Oryctolagus cuniculus: one gene and its partners. The protein of the gene in region 6 purifies or fractionates together with the protein of the main gene of each other region. This does not show direct contact. Links are inferred from orthologs where the notes say so. Each region holds a gene or a part of one and is shown on either strand. Other genes may lie near its edges.

The links.
Region 1: the proteins of FBXW11 (region 6) and REST purify together in Homo sapiens (affinity purification with mass spectrometry; 7 studies listed by BioGRID and IntAct, with this or other methods). This does not show direct contact. The link is inferred for Oryctolagus cuniculus from reciprocal best matches to the Homo sapiens genes FBXW11 and REST.
Region 2: the proteins of FBXW11 (region 6) and RELA purify together in Homo sapiens (affinity purification with mass spectrometry; 6 studies listed by BioGRID and IntAct, counting the BioPlex papers as one, with this or other methods). This does not show direct contact. The link is inferred for Oryctolagus cuniculus from reciprocal best matches to the Homo sapiens genes FBXW11 and RELA.
Region 3: the proteins of FBXW11 (region 6) and CDC25B purify together in Homo sapiens (affinity purification with mass spectrometry; 14 studies listed by BioGRID and IntAct, counting the BioPlex papers as one, with this or other methods). This does not show direct contact. The link is inferred for Oryctolagus cuniculus from reciprocal best matches to the Homo sapiens genes FBXW11 and CDC25B.
Region 4: the proteins of FBXW11 (region 6) and TACC1 purify together in Homo sapiens (affinity purification with mass spectrometry; 3 studies listed by BioGRID and IntAct, counting the BioPlex papers as one, with this or other methods). This does not show direct contact. The link is inferred for Oryctolagus cuniculus from reciprocal best matches to the Homo sapiens genes FBXW11 and TACC1.
Region 5: the proteins of FBXW11 (region 6) and UBE2R2 purify together in Homo sapiens (affinity purification with mass spectrometry; 4 studies listed by BioGRID and IntAct, with this or other methods). This does not show direct contact. The link is inferred for Oryctolagus cuniculus from reciprocal best matches to the Homo sapiens genes FBXW11 and UBE2R2.
Region 7: the proteins of FBXW11 (region 6) and GBF1 purify together in Homo sapiens (affinity purification with mass spectrometry, with the first as the bait; 3 studies listed by BioGRID). This does not show direct contact. The link is inferred for Oryctolagus cuniculus from reciprocal best matches to the Homo sapiens genes FBXW11 and GBF1.

The regions. Positions count from the first base shown.
Region 1 is NC_091439.1:107,748,372-107,752,347, forward strand, and holds the start of REST (RE1-silencing transcription factor), read right to left. Parts: upstream 2,806-3,976; 5' UTR 2,474-2,805; intron 2,322-2,473; exon of another isoform or gene 1,696-2,321; intron 1,120-1,695; exon of another isoform or gene 806-1,119; intron 1-805. UniProt on the Homo sapiens protein: Transcriptional repressor which binds neuron-restrictive silencer element (NRSE) and represses neuronal gene transcription in non-neuronal cells.
Region 2 is NC_091432.1:6,038,317-6,042,446, reverse strand, and holds the start of RELA (transcription factor p65), read right to left. Parts: upstream 2,812-4,130; 5' UTR 2,680-2,811; coding exon 2,673-2,679; intron 2,125-2,672; coding exon 2,098-2,124; intron 2,007-2,097; coding exon 1,855-2,006; intron 1,766-1,854; coding exon 1,617-1,765; intron 1,120-1,616; coding exon 1,028-1,119; intron 666-1,027; coding exon 534-665; intron 1-533. UniProt on the Homo sapiens protein: NF-kappa-B is a pleiotropic transcription factor present in almost all cell types and is the endpoint of a series of signal transduction events that are initiated by a vast array of stimuli related to many biological processes such as inflammation, immunity, differentiation, cell growth, tumorigenesis and apoptosis.
Region 3 is NC_091442.1:29,126,776-29,130,878, forward strand, and holds the start of CDC25B (M-phase inducer phosphatase 2), read left to right. Parts: upstream 1-1,303; 5' UTR 1,304-1,483; coding exon 1,484-1,683; intron 1,684-2,483; coding exon 2,484-2,605; intron 2,606-3,231; coding exon 3,232-3,283; intron 3,284-4,103. UniProt on the Homo sapiens protein: Tyrosine protein phosphatase which functions as a dosage-dependent inducer of mitotic progression. Directly dephosphorylates CDK1 and stimulates its kinase activity.
Region 4 is NC_091433.1:88,581,711-88,585,234, reverse strand, and holds part of TACC1 (transforming acidic coiled-coil-containing protein 1), read right to left. Parts: intron 1,165-3,524; coding exon 1,044-1,164; intron 1-1,043. UniProt on the Homo sapiens protein: Involved in transcription regulation induced by nuclear receptors, including in T3 thyroid hormone and all-trans retinoic acid pathways. Might promote the nuclear localization of the receptors.
Region 5 is NC_091432.1:196,853,165-196,857,174, forward strand, and holds the start of UBE2R2 (ubiquitin-conjugating enzyme E2 R2), read left to right. Parts: upstream 1-1,201; 5' UTR 1,202-1,777; coding exon 1,778-1,954; intron 1,955-4,010. UniProt on the Homo sapiens protein: E2 ubiquitin-conjugating enzyme that accepts ubiquitin from an E1 ubiquitin-activating protein, and catalyzes its covalent attachment to other proteins by an E3 ubiquitin-protein ligase complex.
Region 6 is NC_091437.1:58,572,797-58,576,320, forward strand, and holds part of FBXW11 (F-box/WD repeat-containing protein 11), read right to left. Parts: intron 3,452-3,524; coding exon 3,202-3,451; intron 1-3,201.
Region 7 is NC_091446.1:27,564,432-27,567,875, forward strand, and holds the end of GBF1 (Golgi-specific brefeldin A-resistance guanine nucleotide exchange factor 1), read right to left. Parts: coding exon 3,367-3,444; intron 3,251-3,366; coding exon 3,120-3,250; intron 2,923-3,119; coding exon 2,821-2,922; intron 2,548-2,820; coding exon 2,434-2,547; intron 2,304-2,433; coding exon 2,123-2,303; intron 1,981-2,122; coding exon 1,852-1,980; intron 1,377-1,851; coding exon 1,099-1,376; 3' UTR 515-1,098; downstream 1-514. UniProt on the Homo sapiens protein: Guanine-nucleotide exchange factor (GEF) for members of the Arf family of small GTPases involved in trafficking in the early secretory pathway; its GEF activity initiates the coating of nascent vesicles via the localized generation of activated ARFs through replacement of GDP with GTP.

The DNA of each region.
Region 1 (3,976 bases), on a different chromosome or scaffold from region 6:
CTGCTACTTGGGATGTACTGGGTCAAGTTTCAATTGCTCAGTACTTCTGATCCAGCTTCCTGCTACTGCACCCAGGAGGCAGCTCAGGTACTTGGTTTCCAGCAACCCACATGGAAGACCCAAAAGGGGTTCCTAGATCCCTGACTTCAAGCCTGGCCTAGCATGCCTACTGGGGACATTTGGGGTATGAACCAAAGGAGGGAAGATCAATCCCTCTCTCTCTCAATCTGGTCACTCTGGCCTTTCAAACAAAAACGTCAGTCTTTTAAAAATCTGTGGAAAATTAGAATTAAACATAATTTTATTTAGTACTAAAAAGAAACAAAATATTCATCAATTCCCAACTCTCTTACGGTCACCAAGAAAATTTCTAGTATCCCTAGAAAAAACTTCTACCAATTATTTTACATAGCTTATTCACCAACTGATCAATCACTGGCAAATCTTCCATCAAGCCCTTTTAATTCTGGTGAAAAGAGAAAGGTAACCTCCATTTTTTAATGTTAATTAAAATTACTCTAAAAGTTTGATGAGTGAGGAATTTGTCCTCCAAATTCTCCCCTTCAGGGGTTCACTGGTCTGAATCAGAACCCCGGGAAATCCACAAGCCACTCTCTGCATTTATGAAGTCCACAAACACGTCTGTAAAGTAGGAGGCCTGTAAAAATTGGTCAACTTAATTGAATTTCATATGAACTCAACTAACTCCAAAAGAATAAAACTGCTGTGAACAAAAAGTACCACTTAGTCCCTCTTGAATTTCCCATGACTCCAACGTAAAAGGGGGGGGGGGGAGGGAACACACCCTATGGACTCTTTTTCGTGTGAAAAACAAAGTCTGGCTGATTCGAAACTTCACGGAAGAAAACAGTTTTCAGCCCCCTAATAAAGCAATCCTGCAACTCCACTCGGCTACCAGCAACTCGTACTGGCACTGCCTTCACTTGGCCTACTCGCCCAGAGGAAGCCATTACAAAATCACTTTCCTGAAAACAAGTTGGCCTTTTTAAATGGCCTTAACCAGGCTCCTTCCCAATCTCAAAGGTGTCCTCTTGCACGTTAGCAAAAAAGCAAAGTGACAATTACTGGGAAAAAATTTAAAAAAGGAAAAAAAAAAAACCTAAAAGGAAGCTACACTGCAAATTCACAAACAAAAAGCAAGCGTCTGGCCCAAGTGCATGCACACGGGCGGGCGGCTGGGTCCCGTGCGCCCACGGAAGGTGCCCCAAATGCCATCACACGGACGGAGGCCAGGCCGGCCCGGGGCCGCGCAGCCGGGCGCCCTCAGCGCCGTCCTGGAAGCGACTTGGGCGCCTCCCGGCCAGGGCCGGCCAAGCATGGCCCCGGAGCCCCGCGTGCCGCACGAATTCCTCTGCGCCCGGCCTCCAGCGCCGGCCCCGGCCGCGGCATTCCTCACTCAAATAGGCATTCGGCCATTTTCTCAAAATACCAAACACAAAGCAGCTCTTTGCAAACTCGGGCGCTCTCGCTTCCTCTCGGCCCGGCCCGCTCGCCGCGCGCACACGCACCCCCTCCGCTCGCGGGAGCTGCGCCCCCCACGCGCGCCCCCACGCCGAACCGGACACGCGGCCCGACTCCGGGCACCGGGGGCCCGGCCGCCGTCTCTGCCCCGCGCCCCGGCAGCCCCCTCCCCGGCCCCGCGGGCCCGCGTCCGGCAAGAGGGCGGAAAGTTACCTCCAGCGGCGCCGGGCTCCTGCGACCGCCCCCGGCCGCGCTCCGCGCAGGGCCCGGGCAGGCTCCGCGGGCGCCCTCCGCAGGCGCCGGGCCCCGAGCGCCCGAGGGGGCCCCCACGCGGGCCGGCTGCCGCCCCCGCGCCCCGGAAGTTTGCGAACTTCACTCCGCTGAGCGGCCGGCGGAGCGCGCGTCCCGCCCGGGCCGGCCCGGGGAGCGGAGGCCCGCGGGCCGGAGCGCGGAAAATCGCTGTCCAGCCCCGCGGGCGGCACCGCCCGGGCCCCGCGGCTGACTCAGCCCGGCCGGCCGCGCTCCGCGGCGCCTTCCGGCGAAAGGGAGAGGCCGGGTGGGGGCGGGGGCGGGGTGGGTGCCGGCGGGGCCGAGGGGCTGCGGGACCAGGGGGGACCGGGGGGACCAGTTTCAGGACCGGGGCCCCGAGCAGCTCCGCTCCTGGCCCCGGGAGCACCGCGCGCTCCGAGCGGCGGCGGCGGCGGGGGTGGCCGCCCCGCCTCGGCTGGGGCGGGGGTCCCGGCGCCGCGCGGCTCCCCGCCGACGCCCCCGGCCCAGCCCCCGGGCAGCCGCGCTGTAACCCGATCCCGCTCGGCCGCCCGCCCCCGCCCGGCGCGGCCGCCGCCGCCGGAGCCACCGTATCTGCAAATCAGCCCTGGACAGCGCCTCGCTCCGCGTCCTTCCGCGCCCTCCCCCTCCCGCCGCCGGGCCGGCCCTCCCCCACCCCGGCCGAGCCCCCAGCCCCCCGCACACGCGCGCGCGCGGCGCTCACCGGCCTCGCCTGGCCGGGAGGCGCGGGCGACCCGGCGTCGCCGCTTCCTTCGCCGACTCCTTTTCTTTGTTGCCGGAGTTTCCAGGGAGGGGAGGGGAGGATGGAAAAGTTGGGCGCCGCGGCCGTCGAAAGAGCGAGGCTGCAGGCGTCGCTCAAGCCTCCGCCGGCCCTCGCGCTGCCTTCCCGGCCGCCGCCGCCGCCGCCGGGGTCTGGGGCCCGGGGCCTCGGCGGCGCCTGCTCTGCTGCTGCGCCGACGGCCCGCGGGAGCCGCACATTCCAGCACAGGACGCCGAGCCGCGCACCCGGGCCGCGCCGCCGCCGCCGCCGCCGCCGCCCGCGGGACACGCCCCCGCCCGCGCGCGCCCGCGGGGCACGCCCCCTCCACCGCCCCCCGCGCGCGCGCCCGCGGACGCGCCCCGCCCAGCCTGCGCGGGGAGCGCGAGCGCTCGGGCCCCGCCGGGGGCGCGCCCGCGGGCCGGAGCGCGGGACCTGGTCCTCCCGGTCGCTCACGCCGGCCCTAGCGGTCGCGGGGGCGGCGGGTCCCGCTGTGTCTCGCCGTTTAAACAGAACAACAGACGGGACCCCCCCCCCCGGCCCCGGGCGTGCACGCGTGGAGGATGGAGTCGTTGTGAGCAAAGCCTGCGGGTTCAGAGCCGCATGGTCGCCGGCCTGCGGGGGCGGCGGCGCTCGGAAAACGCCCCTCCGAGTCGCCTCGGGGCTCCGCCGCGGCTGCCTTCGCTCCTGGAGCTTCGTTTTAAGCGTGGAGACCCGCAGGCGGGTGTGCGGATTGAGAACCGTCGCTGAGGGCGAAGACCCGGGGGGCGACGGGCCGAGCCCCCGGCGCGGGCTTCAGGGCGGGGTCGCCAGCCGAGGGCCCCGAGGACGGGCGACGCCTGCGCTCCTCGCTTCTTACCTGCCGTGCGCACCGGAGACGGGGTCCCGCGTGGTGCGGGCAGCCCCGGGGACTCGGACTCAGCGGAGGACGCGGGTCCCGGGAGGTCTGCGCGCCTCCCAGAGCAGAACACTGTGCGTCCTGGCCTGGACAGGGAGGGCAGGGGACACACAGCGCGCTAGGCGCAGGGTCCCAGAGCAGCTGTCCAGGATCACCCCACCCCGGAAGCGCCTCAAGTTCCATCTCTGCGGGTCTTTTCATTTGCGCCCAGCTGCCTAAGTTCTTGTTTTCCTGTTACACCTCTGTACTCGTGTTCCCTGCGTCTAAACAGCAGACTATGGGTTAAGATGGAAGCGGACACAAGGTGGATAAAGTCCTCCCTAAAGTGCTTGCCTACCAAAGTTTTCAGTGACTTTATTCCAAACACTGGCCATTGAGAAGGCTGAAAATCAGACTTGCAAAATGTTCATCTTCATTGAACCAAAGAGGAAAGAAAGAGAAAACCAACTATTTTAAGGCCTAGTGTACACTTTTCTACATTCATTCATTTTTTTTCTTTTAACTAAAATATGACTTGAGGTTCCATGGGTTTTTTTAAGATGCTGTATCCC
Region 2 (4,130 bases), on a different chromosome or scaffold from region 6:
CCAGACCCAGCGCGAGCCACGCTGACCCGGGCAGTCTCCCGGGCCCCATCGTACCCACCTTGGCCACGCGCCCGTCCCTCCTGACCCTGCTTCCTGCCCCCAGGGTTCCCGCGCTGCTCTATTTTTATTCATCCTGCTCATTATTTAATTAAAAACTGCAACTGATGATGCCGCCCAGTCCCTCTGCAAGCTTCCCGGGCTGTCATCAGGGAATCGTCACCGCCCAGGACACCTCGCTCTCGTAATGTCCACTTCCCACAGTCCGTGGTGTAGGTGGGGGCATGCCACTCTCTCGCCACGTGATCCGGAAAACGCCCACTTCCTATCAGACCCCCGCCAGCCCCGAAGCCACACCCTCTAGAGCAAGGACGGCTCTGGGTCTGTCCCTGCCTGTCTGCAGCCAGCAGGGCTGGGCACGGGAGATGACACACGGATGCCGGACGACGGGCAGAAGCTCGCCGCAGCCCAGCCCACCAGCCTTCCTGCCGCCCAGGCCCACCCCGGCCCCTGCCCGTGACCCCCGAGCCACTCACGGTTGTCAAAGATGGGATGGGAGAGGACAGGCTGCAGGCGTAGGGGCCTGCCTGCTGGGTCCCGCACTGTCACCTGGAAGCAGAGCCTCACGGCGTTCAGGTCGTAGTCCCCACGCTGCTCTTCTATGGGCACTGTCACAACGGACGGGCGGACGGGCAGGTGTCACACGGGGCGGGGAGGGCCGGCCGCTCTGGCCTGGGGGCTGGCGAAGGGTGCCACAGCGCCGGACAAAGGCCTGCACTGGGACCCCGCAGTCCTGTCCCCTGCCGGGACGTGGTGTCCGGCTGCGGCGTCTTGGCCAGGAGGCCTGGGGTGGGGGCCGGGTGGGGGCGGAGGCTGGGGGGGCGGGGCGGCAGCTGGGGGGGACGGGGGCTGGGGGCGGGGGCGGAGGCCTGGGGCTGGGGCGGAGGCTGGGGGCGGGGGCGGAGGCTGGGGGCGGGGCGGGCAGCTGGGGGCGGGGGCGGGGGCGGGGCGGGCAGCTGGGGGGCCTCACCTTGGAAGGGGTTGTTGTTCGTCTGGATGCGCTGACTGATGGCCTGCTCCAGGTCGCGCTTCTTCACACACTGGATCCCCAGGTTCTGGAAGCTGAGCCCCTCCCCGTCAGAGCGCGGACCCTCCCGCGGTGCCCCGTCTGCACCTCCCCATCCGCCCCGGTCCTGGCTGCAGCGGCTGCAGCGGCTCCCCTGCGCTGCAACACCACCGCTCCTGTCGACGGCCTCCCGCCCTCAGGCCCTGACCTCGGCACCTCTCCCTTCGCCCCGGGATGCTTCCGGGCTTCTCCGATCAGCCTCACCATTCAAGGCCTAGCTGACAGAGGCCACCCCGGGCCTCCCGCCCCCAGGCCACGAGACCAGCACCCCTCCCTCGGCCGGGCTCTCTCCCAGCCTGGAAGTCACGGCTGACACCACGTGCACCGTTTATCTGCACGACCTACAGCCTGTCCGCGGGTGCGCGCTCGGGGGAACCGCAGGTTCGCTGGCAGCCACAGGGTCAGGGCCCCAGCCCGTCCCCCAGGAGTCCCACTCCCAGAAAGGAGGAGCGCAGGAGAGAGCAGTCCGCCCAGCGCGGCCCCGGGCGCTCACCTGTGGATGCAGCGGTCCGGGCAGAGCTCGGCCTCGTAGAAGCCGTCCCGGCAGTCTTTGCCGACCAGCTCGTGCGGGTGAGGCCGGTGAGGGGGGTCCTTGGTGACCAGGGAGATGCGCACCGTCCCGGGTCCCGTGTAGCCATTGATCTGTGCAAAGTACAGCGCGTGCTGGGGGCAGGGCCGGCTCGGCGGCCCCTCCCCCGCGCCCGGCCCGCCACAGGGGGAGCAGGACTGACCTTGATGGTGGGGTGGGTCTTGGTGGTGTCCGTGCTCCGCTCGCCGGGGATGCTGCCCGCCGAGCGGCCCTCGCACTTGTAGCGGAAGCGCATGCCCCGCTGCTTGGGCTGCTCGATGATCTCCACGAAGGGGCCCGAGGCCTGGGCTGGCTCTGCGGGGGCCGGGGGTCCCATCAGGGGCTGCCCCCAGCCCCCCAGCCCCCGGAGCCCCTCCCCGCCACCGAGCAGGGCCGGCCCACTTACCCGAGGGGAAGATGAGGGGGAACAGGTCTGAAAGGGGAGGAGGTAAGGGTCAGCACAAGCCCAGGTCCCCTCCACCCCCCGCCCCAGGGAAACTGAGTCAGGACCTGCTCCGTGGGGGGTACAGGAGCCAGAAACACCTGTTTCCTAAGGGCAAACGGGGTCTGGACCCCCGGCTGTGCTGAGGGAACCCGAGTCAGGGCCCGGCCCACTGTCCTCGGAGGAGCTGTGGGAGGGCGCCCCCCACCCCCCAGCCCCCACCCGAGAGGAAACTGACTCACACCCTCTCCCATAACAACTCCATCAGGGCTGCCCCAGAGGCCATGCGACGGACTCGCCTCAAAGCTCACCCCGCACCCCCACCCCGGGAGGGCCCCCGGTCAAGGCCCCCTCCACGCGGAGGGGAAACTGAGTCAGACCCCCGCCGCCCGCCCCGCCCCGCGCCACCGGCCGGCCGGACCGCTCCCTGGCGCAGCAGCGCCCGCGGCGCAGGAAGCGGCGGAAGGCGGCCCGGGGGTCCCGCCACAGCCCCCGCGGCCCCGGCGCGGCCTCCCCGCCGGCTCCCGGGGCGCCCTCACCGTCCATGGCCGGGGTCCCGGGGGCGGGGCCGGGGTCGCAGCTGGGCCCGCGGCGCGCGCTACAGGGGAGCCATTCGCCAGAGGCGGAAATGCGCCGCGCGCGCCCGTCGCCGCGTCACTGCCCGGAACCCGGCCGCGCCTGCGCGCTGTGCCTGTGCCGCCGCCGCCGCCGCCGCCCCGCGCGGGGGTCCGGGCAGGTGCGCGCCGCGCCGGGGCGAGCCCGCGGGGGCCGGGGGCAGACGCCGGCCGCTCCGGACACCGACGCTCACCCGCCCGCCCGCCCGGAGGCGGCTCCCGGGGCGGCTCCGCTCGCCCCCGCGTCCCAGCCCCGCCTGGAGGGCGGGCCTGCCGATTACTCACTTTGTTTTTAGGGGATTTCGGGGGCCCCCTCCCGCGGGTCGGAGGAGCTTGGTGATGTCACCCGGGCCGGGCTGGAGCGCGGCCAGAGCGGCTGGGCGGCGGCCGCCCGCCCCGCGCGCGGAGAGCCGGCGGCTTCACCCCGCACGCGTCTCGGCGCGGGGGGCGCGCGGGGTGCGGGGCGCGCCCGACGTCCCCGCCGGCCACTGCCCGCAGCGGGCGAGCCGGGCCCTCGGCCGCGCCAGCCCCGGCCCGCGGGCGGCCCATCGGAGACGAGTGCGGGAGGCGCCCGGATCGGCCCCGCAGCCTCCTCTCTGCACCCTGGCGCGCTCGCCTGCCCACGCCCGGGACCCCCAGGGGCCGCCCGAACCCGCAGGGTCCCGCCCCCCGCGAGAGTGCCCGGGGCCTCCCGCCGCGGCCCTGCGGGCGGGGGGCGGGCCTGGGGCTGGCACAGACCCTCTCCTGGGGTGAGGCTGCGCGCGGCTTCCCCAAAGCGGGGTGCGGGGGAGACTTTGTGTGTGTGTGTATCTTCTCCGAACTCGCACTAAATTAGGAAACCATGTGGGAATTGGAAAAGATTGGAAATTCTGACTTGCTTTCCCAGGCTCTGAAAAAACAGGAAGAGAAAAGTGAAAGAGAGCGAGCACCCCGCCCACCCGCCGGTGTCTCCGGCGCAGTCCGCTTCCCGGCCGCGGGGGCTGCGCGTGCGCCGTCCACTCCGAATAATCAGCGTTTTATTTCCTTGAAAGGCAGAGCGGCCTCCCGCCCCTGCATCACGGCCCAGACGCCGGCCAGCAGCCGGGGAGCTGCGCCAGCTGAGGCCAGGGGCGGGGGTCTCGGGCGGGGGTCTCAGACGGGCGCCGCCCGAGCGGCAGGGACCCCGAGTCTTGGCTGCTGCCCCGGCTGCCCGCCAGGGTCTGCCTTAGCAGGAAGCGGGAAGGGGGAGCCCAGCCGCGACTCCGCAATGGGGTGTGCACGATGCAAGCAACATTGTTTTTTGTTTGTTTGTTTTTTAAGATTTATTTGTTTGAAAAGCAGAGAGAGATAGGTCTCCCATGCGGGTGCAGGGGCCCAAGGACCTGGACCATCCTCCACTGCCCT
Region 3 (4,103 bases), on a different chromosome or scaffold from region 6:
TTATTTCTGATAGGTAGGGTGGGTCGCCTCCTGAGGCACAGCCCCCCTCCCCCCCCCATCCCTCCCAGCCGGTGGCTGGGCGGTGGCTGGAGGGTCAGAGCCAGACCCTTGACTGCCGAGAATGAAAGGAAACAGCACCGGGGCTGGGCAGAATGTTCAAAGTTGCTCCTCTCGGGTGGGACTGGAGCCTCCCCTCTCCTTCCCCAACCCTGCAGCGCCACCCCACCCCCCACCCCGCCACTCCCTTTCGCCAACCTCACCCAGGGGCGAGGTTCGGGCAGCGAGGGAAGGGACGCGGGTGCTCGCGACCCCTCCCTCCAAGCTGCGCTCCCCTCCTGAGCCTGTCACCCTCGGGAGGTCGCCGCTTCCCCAGGGAGACGGGGTGCGCTGCGTACCCCCCAGAAGGGGTGCAGCCCTTTGGCCTCATTCCAGGAAGACAAGGGCTCAGCTGGGAGGTGATTAGGTAATTAGAAGATGCCCAATTTAAACTAATGACAGATTCTACAAAGAAACGCCAGTTGAACAATACTATGCCATTGATACCAAGTGAGCCAAGCCACCATTGTAGGTTCTACTTCCATTACCGAGTTCTCTGGTCGCTGGCCCCTTCCTTGACGCCCCGGGTCCAGTCCAGCCGTCAGAGCCTCCCCTGGACTGCTAGAGAAAGCGGGGCCCCTGGCGGCCTCGGGCTCCCACCGGCGTCCCACCGCCTGCACTGGGCGTTCGGTCCACGAATTACCCTTTGGAGCTGCTCCGCGCTGCCAGACGCTGGGGCAAGGAGCCGGCGGGGTCAGGGGCGTCGGGCAGCGAGCGAGGGCTGGTCCCACCACTTTCCCAAATGCATGACCTTGAACAAGCCCATGAACTTCACGCCTCCACATCCGCGTCTGTGAAATGGGACGGTGAACGCAGCCCGCCCAGGGCCGCCGTGCTTGGCAAACGTGCCGGATCCTCCTGGGGCTCGCGCGCGATGTTAACCCCGGGTGCCTCTTTTCCGGACCCCCCTGGGGCCTGTGGCCCGCTCTGTCGGTGGAAGGTTCCACATTAGGTCCCAGAGCGCGGGATTCGGGGGGTCTCCACCTCGCGCCCGGGTTGGGGGTGGCGGGTGTGCAAGCCGTGGGATGGACCCCAGTTCCTCCGCCTCCCCCGAGGCTGGAGCTGGGCGGGCCGGGCTGGTCCAGCCCCCGCGCCTCTTGCTTCGCGGGCCCCGCCCCCGGGCCCGCCCTCCTCTAACCCGCGCCCCCATTGGTGGCGTCCGGCGGCGCGGCCGCTGTTATTTTTCGAATATATAAGGAGGTGGAGGTGGCAGCTGCAGTCAGAGGCTTCCCGGACTGGTGCTTGAGTCCCGCGCCCCTCACCCCTCCCCACCCTCCCCGCATCCCTCTCCTCCCTCACTCCCAGTCCCACTGCTCTTCCTCCCTCCCTCCCTTCCCCCAACCCCGGGCCCGCTCCCGGCCCCAGGCCCTCCACCCGCCCCGCCGCGATGGAGGTGCCCCGGCCGGAGCCTGCACCATGCTCGGCCCTTAGTCCGGCCGGCGTGCGCGGTGGCGTCCAGCGTCCGGGCCACCTCCCGGGCCTCCGGCTGGGGTCTCATGATCTCCTGGGGTCTCCGGAGCGCACGGCCGCTTCCTCGCCGGTCACCACCCTCACACAGACCATGCATAATCTGGCGGGGCTCGGCAGGTAGGACGCCTCCCAGAGGCTGGGCGTGGGGTGAGAGACCAGGACGGGGTCCTTCGGCTCCAGAGGAACCGCGCGTGGGAGTTGAGCACTACAGGTGGGGTGGGGATGCGGCCGGGTCAGCGCAGAGGGAGTCCCTACCCCTGCTTCAGGGGCCCTGGGCAAGGGGCATCAGACCCTCCAGGTGACCCTTTGGTCTGCGCAAGCCTCCAGGGACCCTCCTTCCCCTCCCCCTCCCTTACTGTGACTCGGCCACGGTGCCCCCCCCCACCCCAATCTCTGTCCGCATCTCCTCCATTTTCCCCAGGCGGGGAGATATGAGCCGGGAGGGGGAAGTTGAGGGTGGCAGAGCAGTGGGGTTCTCACAGGCCCATGCCTCTGCTCCCTCCACCCTGCTTCTGCCCCCAGGGTTCAGGTCATTAATCCTAATCCTGTTCCCTAAGCAAGCCTCAGGGGCTGGGCTGACTTCCCCCAGCAGCCATAGAGACCCAGGTCTCTCTCTCCAAGGAGGCCCTGGGATGGGTAGGGGTCTGAGGAGCAGAGGGCTCCCAGGGCTGCTCTCTCGGCTGCCCCACTGACCGCCACGCCAGCCCCCAGCCTCTTTGCCCTCGCCCTGTGATCACTTGCCCTGCACCTGGGAGGGCCTCTCCTAAGCCTGCCATCCAAGAGAAGGCACTTGGTGGGCTAAGCCTCCTTGTCCTGAGGAGCAGGTGGGCCCTTCAGAGCTGGGTGACTGAGAACAGGGAGGGCCTGGAGGCCTGCATTTACCTCTCTCCTTTTCTGGTACCCCCTTCCCCTCCCAGTGAGACCCCAGAGGCTCAGGCCGGGAGCCTGCTCTTCCGAAGCCGGCTGGCGCGTCTGTCCCTGTCACGGCGGGCATCCGAGTCTTCCTTGTCATCTGATTCCTCTGAGTGTTCTGATGCAGGTGAGGCCCCACACGTGGTTGGGGAGGTCTGAGTTTGGGGGGCTGCCTGGGCTGCTGGATGCCCTGCAAGGTCAGATTAACATTCTTCCCACAACCTGGTGTGCCCGGGAGCCTCCCTGCTTGGCCTGCAAAACTGGGAGGAAGACACACCTCTGGCGGGACCCACCCACCCAGCCCGGGCTGGTGGCCGGGTGGGGCCCTCTGTGGGAGGGGAGATCTCACCTATCCGAAACCAGGCACCAGAGTCCTTAAACCACACATACAGCCCCACCTGGGAGCCGCGGGAGCCTGCGAGCTGATCTGTCTACAGCATTCTCTGAGTCTGTAACTTTAAGAAGCCGTGATCTCTTCTAAAACAAATTATTTTAAACCAGTTCATGAAAAAAATGCTTAGCAAGCACTGTGGTTTTAAAATGTATAGGACAGGAGTTCCCATAGTAACAGGGAGTGGAGCCCTGTGTTGTGTGGGGACAGCATGTCAGCTCATGGCTAGGTTCTTGTCTCATTTTTTAAAGTGTGTCCAGATGGAAAGCAGAAATAGGGCTTCCTCCCCTTCCTGGGACATGCTGGGGGGAAACAGGTAGGGAACGTCACCCCTTTCAAACCCAGGCCCTCTGTCCCCACAGGTCTCTGCATGGATTCGCCCAGCCCTGTGGACCCCCAGGTGGCAGAGCAGACGTGAGTAGATGCCGGGGACCCCTACACAAAGGAGTCGCCACCTGCCTTTGGGAATCCCCGTTCTAGCAAAAGCTCGCTGGAGAGCTCTGGGAGAGTGGAAGGAGTCCTCAGGCCCCACAAAGAGGGCTCGGTGACCTGCCTTGGCCTTGGGCTTCGGCTTCCTGTCTCAGAAGTGTCTGCTTTCAGAAAGCTGGCTGAAAGTGGACGGGGGCCAGGGGTGGTGGGGACAGTGGCCCCTGGGAGCAGTGGGTACTGGACCCCAGCTGGGCCTTGTCCTATGGGAACATAAGTCCAATGTGTGTCCTGTTATCCTTTGTTGCTTCTACACATTGTTTTAAACTAGGAAATAATCACAATTTAAAAATATGTTCCAACTAACTCAGTGCTTTAATTCACTCTGTGTCAAACACAATACAGTTGCTTGCAGACTGATTGGGCCTTAGGCCCATCAGCAACCTCTGGCTTCAGACACTTGACCCCTGGCCAAGCCCTGGACCAGGTCCTTTGTGAGAGAGAGGGAGTGGACAGAGCTGGTGGGCTCTGCTGTGGACAGATACCTCCCCGTCGTGGCGGGGGGGGGGGGGCAGGAGTAATGCCATCCGCAGCACAGCTGTTCCCATCCAGCTGTTAAGACCCAAACAGGTGGAGCAGCTGCCAGCCATTAGTAGGGACAGCTGAGCATCCCTCTCCTGGGCTGGAGGTCTCTGGCTGTGGGTTTAAGGCATCAGCGGCTATGACTGCTGTTCCTCCTGTTGCCTTTGATCAGACTGGGCTGGGCTGCAGAGTTTGTTCACAAACAGGAAATGGGGAGAGAATTGGG
Region 4 (3,524 bases), on a different chromosome or scaffold from region 6:
CCTTGCACAGCACGGGGTGGGGGTGCCCTGTCCACAGGGTCACTTGGTCCAGCCCCATCAAGGCCACTACAGCAGGCTAATGTTTTAAGCTGATCATTTTGCATGGCCCACGAATGATATGGTAAATATCCAAATGGTCCTTGGTAGAAACAGGTGCCCCGTCCCTGTGAAGAAACAAGGGCTGGGCACCTCCTCCTCCAGAAACGGACACGTGCTCACAACACTGTTTAGACTGAGTGGGGGGCGGGGGCAGGCACTAGGCTGCTGGAGCTAGCCCGGGAACCTCAGCTCCCAAGTGTTCCTGTTAGCGCAAGAATCCCTTGGGGTACCTGTGAAAACCACAAGTGTCTGGATCGCCCTCAATGTCTCTGGGACCTGGGATTCAGGCATATGATTATCCTAGATAGCACTGGCTTAGGAACTGTCAGAATAAGGACCCTGCTCTAGCCACAGGCCTGAGCACACAAGCAGAGACTCAGGAAACCCAAGAGACACTCCAGTCGAAGAGCGAAGCCTCAGACTGCTGAACAGCGAGCCTCAGGGGCCGTGGCTACCACTCATCTCCACTATCTGCAGCAGCTTCCCAGCCCTTGCAACGCTTGCTATGGGGCCAGGCAGGTCCTCGTCTGGCAGCATCTCTGGCCTCTGCCCTCTGGATGCTCCCAGTTGTGACAACCAAACCCATCTCCAGACACAGCCCACATCCCCTAGAAGGCAACGATGCCCTCACTTGGAAACCACTGACTGCAACCACTGAAGAGGGAAGAGACACAGCCACATATGACAAACAAAAAGGGTGGTCTCGTGACCCTAAGAAGCCTTTGGTCCTCCAAACTTACAACACCATGACCTCTCTGCTCCCAGCCCGAGGCTGTCTCACACGACAGGCCTGGAAGAACAATGCTTCGACTTTTTGTCTCCACCTGAAGCAGTTCACTGAGGAGCTGGGTTGAGGTCTGCATACAGAGAGGCAAGGCCTCTCGGGCTGAGATCCACTGTAAGCTAAGCAGCGCCAGGACCGACGGCAGCCACTGGCCTCGTACCTTCTGCTGCAGGGCCCTCTCCAGGGACTCCACCTTCATCTGCTCTTTCCGGAGTCCGGCGTGGAGAGCCGCGCTCTCGGCCTTTGCTTTGGTCCGAACCTGAGCGATCTCTTCATTGGCTCTGTTTATGGTGTTTGGTTTATAGGAGAAAGAGAGAAAAAGCAGAGTTAGCCACCGATCACAGCCAGAGTCAGGATATTCATCATGGACAGCCGTGTGACACAGGCCCGAAAGGACTGACTGCGTAGAAGAGAAAGAACTGGTGACCGACATAACTCAGTAAGAACCCAATTCACGAACAACTGCTAAGGGAATTTCTGTGGCACAAACCAATGACGGAATTAATCTCAAGCACCACAATGTTTTCACAAGAAAACGGAATTATAAACCAGTTTCTATGATGGTCTTAGATTAAAAAAAAAAAAAAAAACCAGTGTAATAGTGGGCTGGATCATTTTGGGGATTATCACAGTCAACAGTCAGGACGTGTAGCCACTGACATGGACTTGATTAATGAGATGCAGAGGGAAATGTTAGAAACCAGAAATGTCAGAGGGCAAGCAGCGGGTGAACGGCGACAGGATGCTGAGACTCCGCTCGGAGCCAGAGGTGTGCAGATGAGAGTGAGAGGCTTGGATTTACCACACGGCTAATACTAAAAAGGGCGGTCTCGTCCTAGGTCCTTGAGAAGAAAACAGACTCCCACGCTGCTGGGAAAGATGGAACTGGTCCTGTCCCTGTGGAAGGCACCACCCCCACGAGGACGATCCGAAACGCGGCCACCCCATCCCACGTTCCGTGATCTCCTCAGAGACATCCACTCAGCACGCGGTGGTCCCTGCCACGTGGTCTGCCACGGGAAAGGGCTGGGTCTAAGAAACGCCTTTCAGTAAAGAAACGGCTGAAGTCCTGTAACCTGGCAAAGACTGAGCTACAAGCCTATGTGGGAAAATGGCCTGGTAAACCCTCAGTGAAAACAGGAAATGTGTGTAACATGACTCTAATTAAAAAAAGTTCCAAACCATTTTGGACAGGCACACAAAGAAAGATCTAGAAGGATATTCAATAAAGCACACAGTACCTGTGTGAGTGGGAAACAGTTAAAAGTTTTACAAATAGGAATATAAATGGTAAAATGTGTAAGTATAGATTACTTTCTACTTAAGAGAATACCATTCCCCAACATAAGTTCCAAATGTACCGGATGTGAGAATTAACCGAGAACGTAAGAGAAAAACTAAGCTATTGAGGCTAGTGTTGTAGCACAGTGGGTTAAGCTGCAGCTTCTAACACCAGTTTCTCAGGTTTGAATCCCAGCTACTCTGCTTCCAATTCGACTCCCTGCCAATGCACCTGGGAAGGCAGTGGAAGCTGGTCCAAGTGGTTGGGCCCCTGCCACCCATGTGGGAGACCAGGATGAAGCTCCTGGCTCCTGGCTTCAACTCTGGCTATTGTGGTTGTTTGAGGGGGTGAACCAGAGGATGGAAAATCTCTCTCTCACTCTGCCTTTCAAGTAAGTTAATAAGTCTATTTTTTTTTTTTTTTTTTTTTAGATTTTATTTATTTGAGAGGCAGAGCTACAGAGACAGGGAGAGACAGAGAGAAAGGTCTTTCATCAACTGGTTTATTCCCCAAATGGCCACAACAGCCAGAGCTGAGCCGATACAAAGCCAGAAGCCAGGAGCCTCCCCAAGGCCTCCCACGTGGGTGCGGGGGCCCAAGCACTTGGGCCATCGTCCACCACCCTTGCAGGCCACTAGCAGAAGAGGAGCAACCAGTACACAAACAGCACCCATATGGGATGCCAGCACTGCACAGGGAAGCCCAGCCTACCATGCCATAGTACCAGCCCTATTAATACATCTTAAAAACCAGGGGTCAGTATTGTAGCACAGTGGGTAAAACAGCCGCCTGCAAAGCCAGTTCCCATATGGATACCAGTTCACATCCCAGCTGCTCCACTTCCAATCCGGCTCCCCACTGGTGACCTGGGAAAAGCAGTGGAAAATAGCCCAAGTGTCTGGGCTTCTGCCACCCATGTGGGAGACCCAGATGAAGCTTTGGCTTGGCCCAACCTGGCCATTATAGCCATATGGGGTATAAATCAGCAGATGGAAGATCTCTAACTCTTTGAAATCAATAATTTTTTAAAAAGATTTTATTTATTTGAGAGGTAGAATTACAGACAGAGAAAGGTCTTTCTTAGGTGGTTCACTCCCCAAATGGCAGCAGCTGTGCCAATCTGAAGCCAGGAGCCAGGAGCTTCTTCTAGATCTCCCATGTGGGTGCAGGGGTCCAAGCACTTGGGTCATCTTCCACTGCTTTCTCAGACCATAGCAGATAGCTGGATCAGAAGAGGAGCAGCCAGGACTAGAACCAGTGCCCATATGGGATGCTGGTGCTGCAGGAGGAGGATTAACCTACTTCACCACAGTGCCAGCCCCAAAATAAATAAATCTTTAAAAGAAAGCAAAACAAGCC
Region 5 (4,010 bases), on a different chromosome or scaffold from region 6:
GCATCCAGAACACAGCTGTGCCTTTAAAGTTCTTCCTTTCAAGTTCTTGTTTATGGGCCATTTACCTTGAGTCAGTCACTATACTAAATAGTGTACATAATGATTCATTTAATCATTACAATTGCTTGTGTTAGGTGTAATTAACTCCCTTTTACAGAGGCTGATGAAGCAGGAAGAGAGAATATTAAAGTTAGGGTCAGAGCTGGAACCAAGGTCTTTCTGATCCCAAATTGTGTGGCACCCTCACGGGGTCCCAACTTCTCTAGGGAACAGTTTAGGCAGTAAGAGTCTCGCAAACCGTAAGGTATTCTAACATCATGGGGGCTGCCTCTCACTATGAAGTGACATGTCTCTTCAGTCCAGATTCTCTCAAAAGTCCCTCAATTCCAGACTGGACAAAAAGCTGAGGGCACTTAGAAGGGGTCAAAGTCCAACCACGGTATTATTATTTTTTTTTTTTACAAATGGGTGAGCTGAGGGCTGGCCAGAGCACTGGCCCCACATCACACGGAGAAGGGCCAGGAACCCAGTTTCGGTCCGTGTTATTTCTCTCATAACTTCCTCTTTGCAGTTAAGGGAAGTAGGGGCACGCCTATCGGCCTTCCCCCACCTCTCGAATGGGAAACTGCCTCTCCCCAAGGTGGTGACCTGGCCAAGAACACACTGGCATGAATGAGGGCTGGAATCGCCAAGACAGACGTCGTCAAGAGGCCTGTTCTCACCGATAAGGCCCAAATCCTCGGTGCTTCCTAATCAAGGGCCTGGTTAACAGGAGGGACTGCGAGGGGGCAGAGATGAGCCTACAGAGGACCCGGGCTCCGCTACCCCGGCCTTCGGGGTCGAGCCCTGAGGGCCCCAGAACGTGAGCCCTCTTCCGGGACACGCCTTTGGATCCGCAGCGTCGCGGTGCACAACAGTCACGTCGGGCCCAGGGGATCCGCCGCGGCCCGCCCTCGGCCCTCACTGCCGCTCGGGCCTTTAAGGGCGGAGGACACACGCCGGCGTCACAAAGCGCCGCCACCGCGCGGGCCAGCCGGGAGGAGGCGGGGAAGCGGGAGAGGAGGAGGAGGAGGAGGAGGAGGAGGAGGGCGAGGCGGGCGGGGGAGGGAGGGGCGCGCGCACGCGCGTCGGGCCGCCAGCCGCCGAGAGCCGCCCCCCTCCCGGCGCGCGCCCCTCCTCCCTCTCTCCCTCCCTCCTTCTCGGCTCCGTCGCTCCCGCGGCGCGCGGCGCTCTCGCTCTTCGCCTCCTCCTCCGCCCCTCCCCCCGCGCAGCCGCCGCCGCCGCCGCCGCAGCCGCGAGACCCCCGCGCGCCGCGCTCCCCCCGCCCCCTCTGGCCCCGCGCGCCCTCCGGCCCCGGCGGCCCCCGAGGAGAACGAGAGGGCGAGCGAGCGCGGCGCTCCCGGGCCGTCGCGGCCCCCTCCCCTTACCATCGCCGGCCCTCCGCCACCTTCCTCGGCTTCCACCTTCTCTCCCCCCCCCCAAGTTGAGGCCCCCTCCGGGGGGGGGAGGCCCGGCACCGGGAGCGAATTCCCCGAACTCCCTCTGCCCCTGCCCCCACCCGGCCGGAGTGAGGAGAAGGGCCCGGCCCGGCCCGCGTCGTGTGTGAGGAGGATCCCGGGCGGGCCCGCGGGCCGACTGGGGCCTGGTCCGGCCCGCCGGCGGTGTGAAGACAGGGGCCCGGGGCGGCCCGGCTCGAGGGCGAGCGCAGGGGAGGGGCCTGGTCCGGCCCGGCCGGTGCGTGAGGACTGGGGCCCCGGCCCGCACGGCCGCCGCCGCGATGGCCCAGCAGCAGATGACCAGCTCGCAGAAGGCCCTGATGCTGGAGCTCAAATCCCTGCAGGAGGAACCGGTGGAGGGCTTCCGGATCACCCTGGTGGATGAGTCCGACCTCTACAACTGGGAGGTGGCCATCTTCGGACCCCCCAACACCCTCTACGAAGGCGGCTACTTCAAGGTACTCCCATCCCCCGACCTGGCCGCGCGGGCCGCGGCCTCGGCTCCCCACCGCCCTCGGCTGTTTTCGGGGGCCAGGAGAGTGGGCACGGCTGAGTGAGGGGGCTCCTCGCCTCGACACCCCCTCCCCCATCCGTGGAGGCTGGAAGGCCTTGCTCACCCAGTGCCTTTTCTTTGTCATGGGGGCGGGTGCGGGAGGCCAGACTGCACCGGGAGAGAGGGAAGCCTCTCGGACTAGGGTCGTGGCTCCGGGAGGAGGAGGAGGCCTGTCTTTGTTTGCTCCCCAGCCGAGGGGGTGATGGCAGGAGAGGGGGGCTGCCTTCCCCTCCCGTCCTCCCATCACAACCCTCCCTGGCGCAGCTGGAACTGCCCCAGAGGGCAGGGTGACCTGCACCTACTGGATTGGACTTTTCTTTTTTGGGGGGTGGGGGTGGGGGAGGGGCACTAGCCTGTCATTCCAGAGGCTGCCAGTGCCCTGACATTTTGAGCGTTTGTTGGGCTGTGGTGGTTGCAACTTTGCGTTCCAGTGGCGATATTGAAGAATGGGACCCTAGGGGTGGTTAAAAAGAAAGAAAAAAAGACGGAGGGGGGGGTGCCTGCGGGATTTTTTTTGGGGGGGGGCCATTATCCACTTGAGGGAACTTTAATTTAGCCCTCTTTCTGTTCTCGTTCTCTATTTACCTCGGTCAATGGTTCTTTCAAAAATGCCCTTTGTCCTCACCCAGGCTCCCCTGCCCCCCGTGTAGAAATATCCACAGAAGGTGCAACATGTCTTGTAGGGCGACTGGTCTTTTCCCACTTTGGGGAGACAAAAATTGAAACCTTTTGCTCAGGTGGCTGGTTAACTAGCAAATGGGGTTGTCGCCCAGATGAAAAGTATCATGAGAGATGAGGCGATTTCACTGGGTGGGATGGCTCCTTAGCGACCAGAGACATTGTTTCTATTGTTTTCCATGATTTTAGGACAGTGGTTATTATTCCGGAATCTCGTGATTTTGTTTTTTTCTTTTGACCCCCAAGGCAGATATAACTTGAGTTTTTGCTTTTGTTTTTACGTTAGCATTTTTAAAGACAAGAATCACAGATTGAAGATTTCATTGTTATAAATGGTGGGGGCAGATACAGAGGAAATAGTGTTTAGGAATGCATTTAATATTTTTATTTCCACACACAAAAAAATAGGCCATTGAGTCAATTTTAGTTTGTTTTGAAGGGAGGGGTTATCTTGGCACAAGTTTTAAATGAGTATCTTAGTCATGTAGTTGTGATGTGTATTTTTAGGACTACCCAATTACTTAACTCTTGTTTTCTATGCTTCTAAAGGTGGAAGCCTCAATTTCAGACTTGAAATTAGGTCAACTTTGTAGAAAATAGGATTGATATGGAAATGTTTAATATTCACAGCTGTGATAGTCACTGAAAAGCACATGTTGAGAATATTATGAAGCCAAACCGATGGCTTTGGTTTTTTTTTTTTTTCCCCGTGGGCCACAAACAGTATACTTTTCAGATGTAGATTTTTAAAATTGCTGAGAAAAGGTGCAAGTTACTAGTGGCGAATTGGAAACGATATTGCTTGTCTATGTTGTCAAATATAAGTTTTTGTTTACAGATACTGGAAAAATTAGTTTCACAGGGTGGAATTTATATGAAAACTTTTCTAGTAAAGTATTAGCAAAATCTGGCTAGTGGTAGTGGAGTAAAGTTTAATTTCCAAAAAGTAATTTTTTGGGCCTGGTAAGTGGGTACTTGTTAGACTGGCCTTACTCCCAGGCAGTTTGTTAAAGATTGCAAATGAAAGATCATGTACTGCAAACTATAATACTTTTGCATCAGTAACTGGGGAAGGAGTGTGGAAAATCCTCTCCATTTGGAATAGGTAGTGTGGAAAGATTCTTTGTCGTTTACACTCATTAAAACCAAATGCTTTTTAATTTCAGTCCTGTTTAAAAAGAATGCTTTAATGTCTGTTTTGTTATGCTAGATTTCTTAATTTTTGAATGTTTTTACTTTTAATTCTCAAAAAAATATGAAAATTCTTAAACAGGTTTTATGTT
Region 6 (3,524 bases):
TGTCAGATTTTACATTTCTACGCCAGCTGACATATCACACCCAATGTAACTGATACAAAAAAAAGCTTTATCTTTCATACCCTCCTCTTTTTCAGCATAGGTCTATTTTTGATGTTTATTTTCATCTACTTGAAAGGCAGAAAAACAGAGAAAGACAGAAATAGACAGAGACAGGGAGGAATCTTCTATTCACTGATTCACTCCCCCAAATGCCTGCAAAAGCCAGAGATTGGCTGGAATGAAGCCAGGAGCTGGGGATTCTATCCAGCCCTCCCATGTGGGTGGAAGGGACCCAAGCACTTCAGTCATCTTCTGCTGCCTTCCGGATACACCAGAAGGAAGCTGGATCAGAAGAGTAGTAGCTGGGATGTAAACTGGCACTCAAGATATGAGACATGCATATTCAAAGTTACAGCTTACCCCACAGTGCTGCAATACCTGCCCCCAGCATAAGTTCTTAAATAGCTCCACTAGTTTTGAAACATCAATGCTAATATTATGTATGTGGATTAAATAATCCCCACTTTTCTGAAATCATGCTTATAGATCTATTTAATATATTTAATATATTAGGAAGCCAAATGCAGAGATATACGGCAACCTGAGAGGTGTGAATCATTTTACCAGCTGCATTTGTAGCCAAATGGGATAAATGAATATCCACATACAAAACAAGAGATAAATATCCACCTTATACCATATAAAATATGTAATTCAGAATGGATCAAAGACTTATATATAAGAGCCGAAACTACCCTTAAAACAAAACGGAGGAGTAAATCTTTGTGACACTAAATCAGGCAATGATTTCTTAGATGATAATAACAAAATAAAAATAATACAACAAAATTTAAAAATATAATTTGATGTCATCAATATTAAAATCATTAGCACATCAAAGAACAACATAAGAAAGTGAAAAGAGGGGTAGACATTTAGAGGACAAGTTAAGACACATTGTTTGGGATGCCCACATTCATTCCACAATGCCTGGGTTCAAGTCCTGGCTCTGCTTCTAATTCCAGCTTCCTGTTAATGTGCACCAAAGGAGAGAGCAGGTGATAACTCCTTGTGGGAGACATGGATTGAATTCCTGACTCCTGGTTTTGGCCTGGCCCGGCCCCACCTGTTGCAAGCATTTGGGAATTAATTAGTGGATATAAGATCTCTTTCTCTCTGTCTTTCAAACAAATAATTTTTAAAAAGAAAGTGAAGGGGCTGATGTTGTGGCACAGTGGGTTAAGCCACCACCTGCGAGGCCAGCATCCATATCAGAGCACCAGTTTGAGTCCTGGCTGTTCCAGTTCTGATCCAGCTCCTGCTAATGCACCTGGGAGAGTAGCAGAAGATGGTCCAGGTACTTGGCCCACTGCCATCCATGTGGGAGACTAGGACAGAGTTCTGGACTTCTGGCTGCAGCTCGGCCCAGCCCTGGATGTTGCTGTCATTTGGGAAATGAAATAGCATTGAAGATCTCTCTCTCTCTCACTCTGCCTTTTATATAAATAAAATAAATTTTTTAAAAAGTAAAAAAGACAACCCATAAAACAGGGTAAAATAATTTACAAATTATGTATCTGATAAGGGTCTTGTATCCAGAATACATAAAGAACACTTAAAACTCAGTGATAAAAAGACAAATTCCCTAATTTTTAAAATGGGCAACAGATTGAAACAGATATTTCTCTAAAGATGATATACAAATGGTCAATAAGCATATGAAAAGATACTGAATACCATCAGTTATTATAATCTGCAAAGCAAAACCAAAGATACTCTTTCTTGTACATCTATCAGGACAGATGTAATACAAAAGACAGGTAATAACAACTGTTGACAAGAATACGGAAAAACCTTCCAGCTGATATTACAAAACAGTTGTTTTTGCAATAAGGCCCAGACCCTGTTGACTTCAGGCACTGGTCTTGTACTCACTGCTGTGACTATGGAATAAATCAACACACAGAAATACTACGTGTTCAGTTTCCAGGCCACTTAAACCAAAGTTTGATACAATACAGTCCATGTTATGTGGAGCTAGGTATCAGAATACTGTCTAGAGCTTTTAACTGTCATTAAAAGACAGTTTTTTGAACAAGTTCAAACGCTTATATACCATTGGCATGTTTGCAAAACAGTAAGTTCATGTTGGAAAATAGTTTGGTAGTTCCCCAAAATATTAAACACAGAGTTACCATCACAAGAGAAATAAAAATACACAAACATGCAATAACTTATACATGTTTATAGTAGCACTATTCATAATAGTCAAAACCAAACTGAAACAACCACAAGCCACATGTATGATTCTAATTGTATAAAATATCTAAAACGGGCCTTTTCATAGAGACAGGTGTCAGGGTAGTGACTGCCAGGGACTGGAAGGGGCATGTGGGGATTCATTCATAATGGGTATGATGCTTCTTAAGATAAAAATCTTCCAGAACTAGATTGGGGTAATTTTAAACAACACTTCAGATAAACTAAAAGGTCACTGAATTATAGACTTCAAAATAATGAATCTTATGATATGGAAATTACATCTCAGTAAAGTTGTCATAAATACAGAAGAAAGCTAGAATTTTAAAAAGTTTTCATGGACACTGGAATCAGAATTGCAATGACCATATCTTGTGGACCATCCCAGGCTACAACTTCTCGTCCTATTTCTGCCTTCACATACACACCACAGGCTGAGCTTCCTGAAAGCATGGACAGGTCAGGCTCACCAAATCTCCAATATCCAGCCCAGGGTCAATGGCAAGGCAAGCTATCTAAGTTAAGTGAATAAAACAAGATTTGCTACTAGCTGTGTGACCTTCAACAGAGTTCTTCCCTCACCCTCTGAGCCATGGCTATGAATCAGAGGCAACACCTAAATAACAAAAAGTACGAGGATGGTTAAGTGAGATGTGACATAAAGCCCCTAGCACACAATGTGTGCTCAATGGTGTGGTTCTCTTCCTCTTGGAAATTATCAACAATGTCATTTCGTGAAATGGAAAACTATTATTCTCTTTTCTGGATCGATGACTTCCTCCTACCTTGCCTGACACTAAAAGTATGTGGAATGGGAAGGCTGCACAGGTTCATGAACATTAAAGAAGAATAAACACCTTGCCATGTACTGACCTGTCTCCACTCTCTCTCTGGTCCATAAGAGACAGAAGCAGGCAGGGCTATGATTAAAGACTCACTTACTTTGATGGTCCTGTCACCAGAGGCAGACACGATGTATTTATCATCAAAGTCTACTACATTGACAGCAGCACGGTGGCCAACCAGGACACGGCGTAGAGTGATGTCGGTGGCCGAAGCCATGTCCCACACGGCAATGGAGCGGTCCTTAGAACAGGTCACCATGAGTCCATTGCTGAAGCGTAAGTGCAGTACAGCCTCATTGTGGTGGATCAATGTGTTGAGAACTTCACCTGTGTTCACATCCCAGACTCTAAATGAAAAGAGAAATGCATGCTGCTCAATTACTGAGAAAGCCAAGAAAAGACTCTGTCCTCTAAACTGAG
Region 7 (3,444 bases), on a different chromosome or scaffold from region 6:
CAATCCTACTGCAGTGCTGGGGCGGATGCGGGCTGTGCGCGGGAAGAATGGTCCCTCTTCAGCTTGGGGTCAGAATGAATGCTCTGTACCCAGAAACACATGGTTACAGATGCAGGCAAGGTGACCCGGGCCCCTCTTAAGCCCCATGGGTGTCTTTGTGCTCTGGGACTGAGAGGCAGCTCCGATGGGAGGCTTCTAAAGAACTCAACTCAGCTTTTGCTTATCTTCCCTCTGCTCTCAGGCAAAGCTGTATCAGATATCTCCCTTGGAGCAGTTATGGAAAAGGACAATTACCCAAGCCCCTGGAACACCTCTGGTGACAAAAGTGCACTGCTACGGCACAGGTATGGCAGCAGCAGTGAAAGAATCCTGACCCAGGCACCAGCTGGGCCAGCTACTGGTAAGCTTTTCTTCACTTTGCCTCTGTTTGCATAAGGCCCAAGCCCCAGGCATCCCAACAACACAGTGCCCTGACTCTTAAACTCAAGGAGAAAACTAGAGGAAAAGCCAAGGATGTTGGTACTAAGACATTTATTACATCATAAAAAGTCCGTTGTTGTCCTGTTTTTCTATATGTACATGCTCCTGCAGGCAGTCCCCCAATCAGCTCCACCAGCTCACCATCTACGGTGCCAATCAACTTTCTAAACTGACCGACTAATTAATAAAAGAGGAAGCACTGGAGGAGGTGGCCCAGGGCTGATGGGCATGGTGCTGGGGGAGGGAAAGAAAGTGCAGAGTGGTTGGGCTTGGCTCTCAATGCCTGACCATGGGCAGGAGGATACATGGGCGGGCATTGAAGGGTTGGCACAGTGATGCCTCCCAAGAGCTGCCAGCTGGAGATAAACACTGCAGGTGACACTTGAGGGTGCTCTCAGGTTAGACGCCGAGGACTGGAGAGCAGAGGAGGAAGAAGGTCCTGCAGTCGGAAGTGGGTCCCAGCAGAGGCTACAGGAGTTCTTTTTCTCAATCCAAGTGGCAGCAATAGCAGCTTGGACTAGACTGGGCCTGAAGGGACTGTGGCCCCTGGAACAGCCGGAAGGCGGGGCAGGGATAGCCTGATGGGAAGTATCTGTCCTGGTATCTGAGGGACCTGCCTTAGTTGACCTCGGAGGTGGATATGGGGTCTGTGGGGCGTGGAGTGGCCAGGAGGGGCACCGGAGAGGTGGCTTCAATGAGTGCAGGGTTGAGAATGATAGGCAGAGTCATGGGTGGCACGCCAACCTGCAGTGGGGAGGCCAAGGGTTGTAGGATCAGAGGGGACTGAGCCAGTGGCGTTGGCCCATCTGGGGTAGGGCTCAGCCTGCTGGGGCTAGAGGCCACTGGTGATCCCGGGGAGCTGCTGCTGGTGGCTCGTGGGTCAGGCTTCTCCAAGTCTGTAAGGAGAGCAAGGTGGCTGCAGTCAGACAACTCTCACTCCCCAGCTGGCATCAAACCTCTGTTCCTCCTGATTACCATCCCAGGCCATGTGGGAGGCTCCCCTTGAAACTCATTTCGGTTTTAGCTACCTTCTATCTAGCCCCCCATTGTTTTGCTGCACCCATTGTCAGGTTAATTCTGGTCAGTCTTTACTAGAATCCTTTAAGGGAAACCTCTGTGTGTTCCTTCCAAGTATGACCCAGCCCTCTCCTCCCAGAGCCAAGAGCCAAGAGGCTCAAGCAGTGAGTTCGTAATAGCTTCTTCAGTCCTGCCGTTCTCCATAGGAACAGTCGGCAAACAGGATTCTCTGGTTGCCTCCCTCCCCTGGCTCCCAGTCCTTACTCAGCAGCAATCCTAAGGTACCCTGGGCCTCCCCTTAGGCCTCCTGCTTCCTGCACAACCCTCAGAACAAGCTCGCCTTGAGAGACTCACCACAGGCCCCCAGCTCAGAGGGTATCTCTGGGGCAGGTGGGTGGCCAGGTGTCCTGGTGTCACCAGCAGCAGGAGCCAGGTGGGCGGAGATCAGAGGTTTTTGGCTGTGAGGCTCCATGGGAATGGGGTCTGGGGAGGACAGGGAACTCAGATGGCAACTCTTTCTTTCCATCAGAGCCTTGGCTACCCACCAGCCTTTCCACCCACTGGGGGCACACAGAACTAATTCAGCTTGGGGGACTCTTTAATGAAGCTGGGCTGAGCCCCCTACCCTGGATGACAGTCTGCTTAAAGAGCTCATCTCGTAGGTGGGGCAGGAAACAGTCAATGCGCTCCCAGGTGATCTCCCAGAGGGCTGAGGGGCTGCCTCCTCGTGTGTCTGCGCTGTGGAAAATCTCCGCTGTGTCCATCACCAGAAGCATGTTCTTCAGAGACTCAGGGATGGCCTCTGACTGCAGGTGGTAGTGGGGCCAGGAGAAGAGGGAAAGGGGTATAGGTGAGGATGGCAAAGGGCAGAAAGAAAGTCTTCCCACCAGTGGGAAAGGAGGTAGGCAATGGGGGTCAAGGTGAGGTAGAACATACCAGTAAGTCACTGGAGCCTGCATGCATGTACTTGTCCATGAAGTCCAGGATGGTGAGCCAGAGGGCCGCAAAGGTAGAGAGGGACAGCAGTGGAGACAGGTGCTGCAGGAAGACCTATGGCCAGCCAGCCCCTTCAGCCAAGTGTAATACAGCAGCCTTCTGCACCGCTCTCCAGGGTCAGAAGGCAAGCCTGTTCTAACTTGCACATGAATCTCAAGATCAGAGACTCTTGAAATCCAGAATCCTCCCAGGTCCCGGGTCCTGCTCATTTTCTAAAAATGGGGGTCCTGAGAACCTACATTGCATCTCTAGGTCCTACCAGAAGCCCTGGCTCCTCTCCTTGAGAAAAGGCAGGTGTGGAGAGGACAGGTGGGTGATGAGCAATACCTTAGAGAGCAGTGTGGAAGCCCTCATCCGGGTCTCCTCCATCCCACCGATATCTGCAGGGCTAATGTTCTCCAAGAGCTTGGTCAATAGAGGAAACAGCACCTGGTGGATAAATACCTTCAGTGTCTCCCAGCAGGGTCAGTCAGGCAGCCTTGCCCCCAGGAATCCAGGGGCTGGAGTGGCTGGGCACAGAACAGAAGGGAAGGAGCGGTGCAGGCTGAAGACTGACATGACAGGCTCTTCAGGGTGCCTGGCTTTGTGTTAGGGATTTGAACTTTGAGACCAATAGCAAGTCCTACCTTATTAAAGCAGGACTCCCACTCCAGGGCATCAAGTTTTTGCAGATCATGTACCAGTAGTGCCCGCTGCAGATAGGTTAGTGCCTGCATCCGCACCTGGCGCCGGGCATCACAGCACAGGCAGGCAATGCCTGAGAGTGAGAGCAGGGTCAGGACCCTCCAAGCATCTTGATCCTGGCACACCTCCCTTCCCCACCCTGCTCCAGCTCCACTTCTGCCTCCACCCTATCTGATCCCCCAGCTTTACCCTGTAGTAAAGGGCACCAGCAGTGGGCCCAGAGCGTGCGTGAATCTGCTTCGATCTTCCGGCCACCTGTCTCCAGAT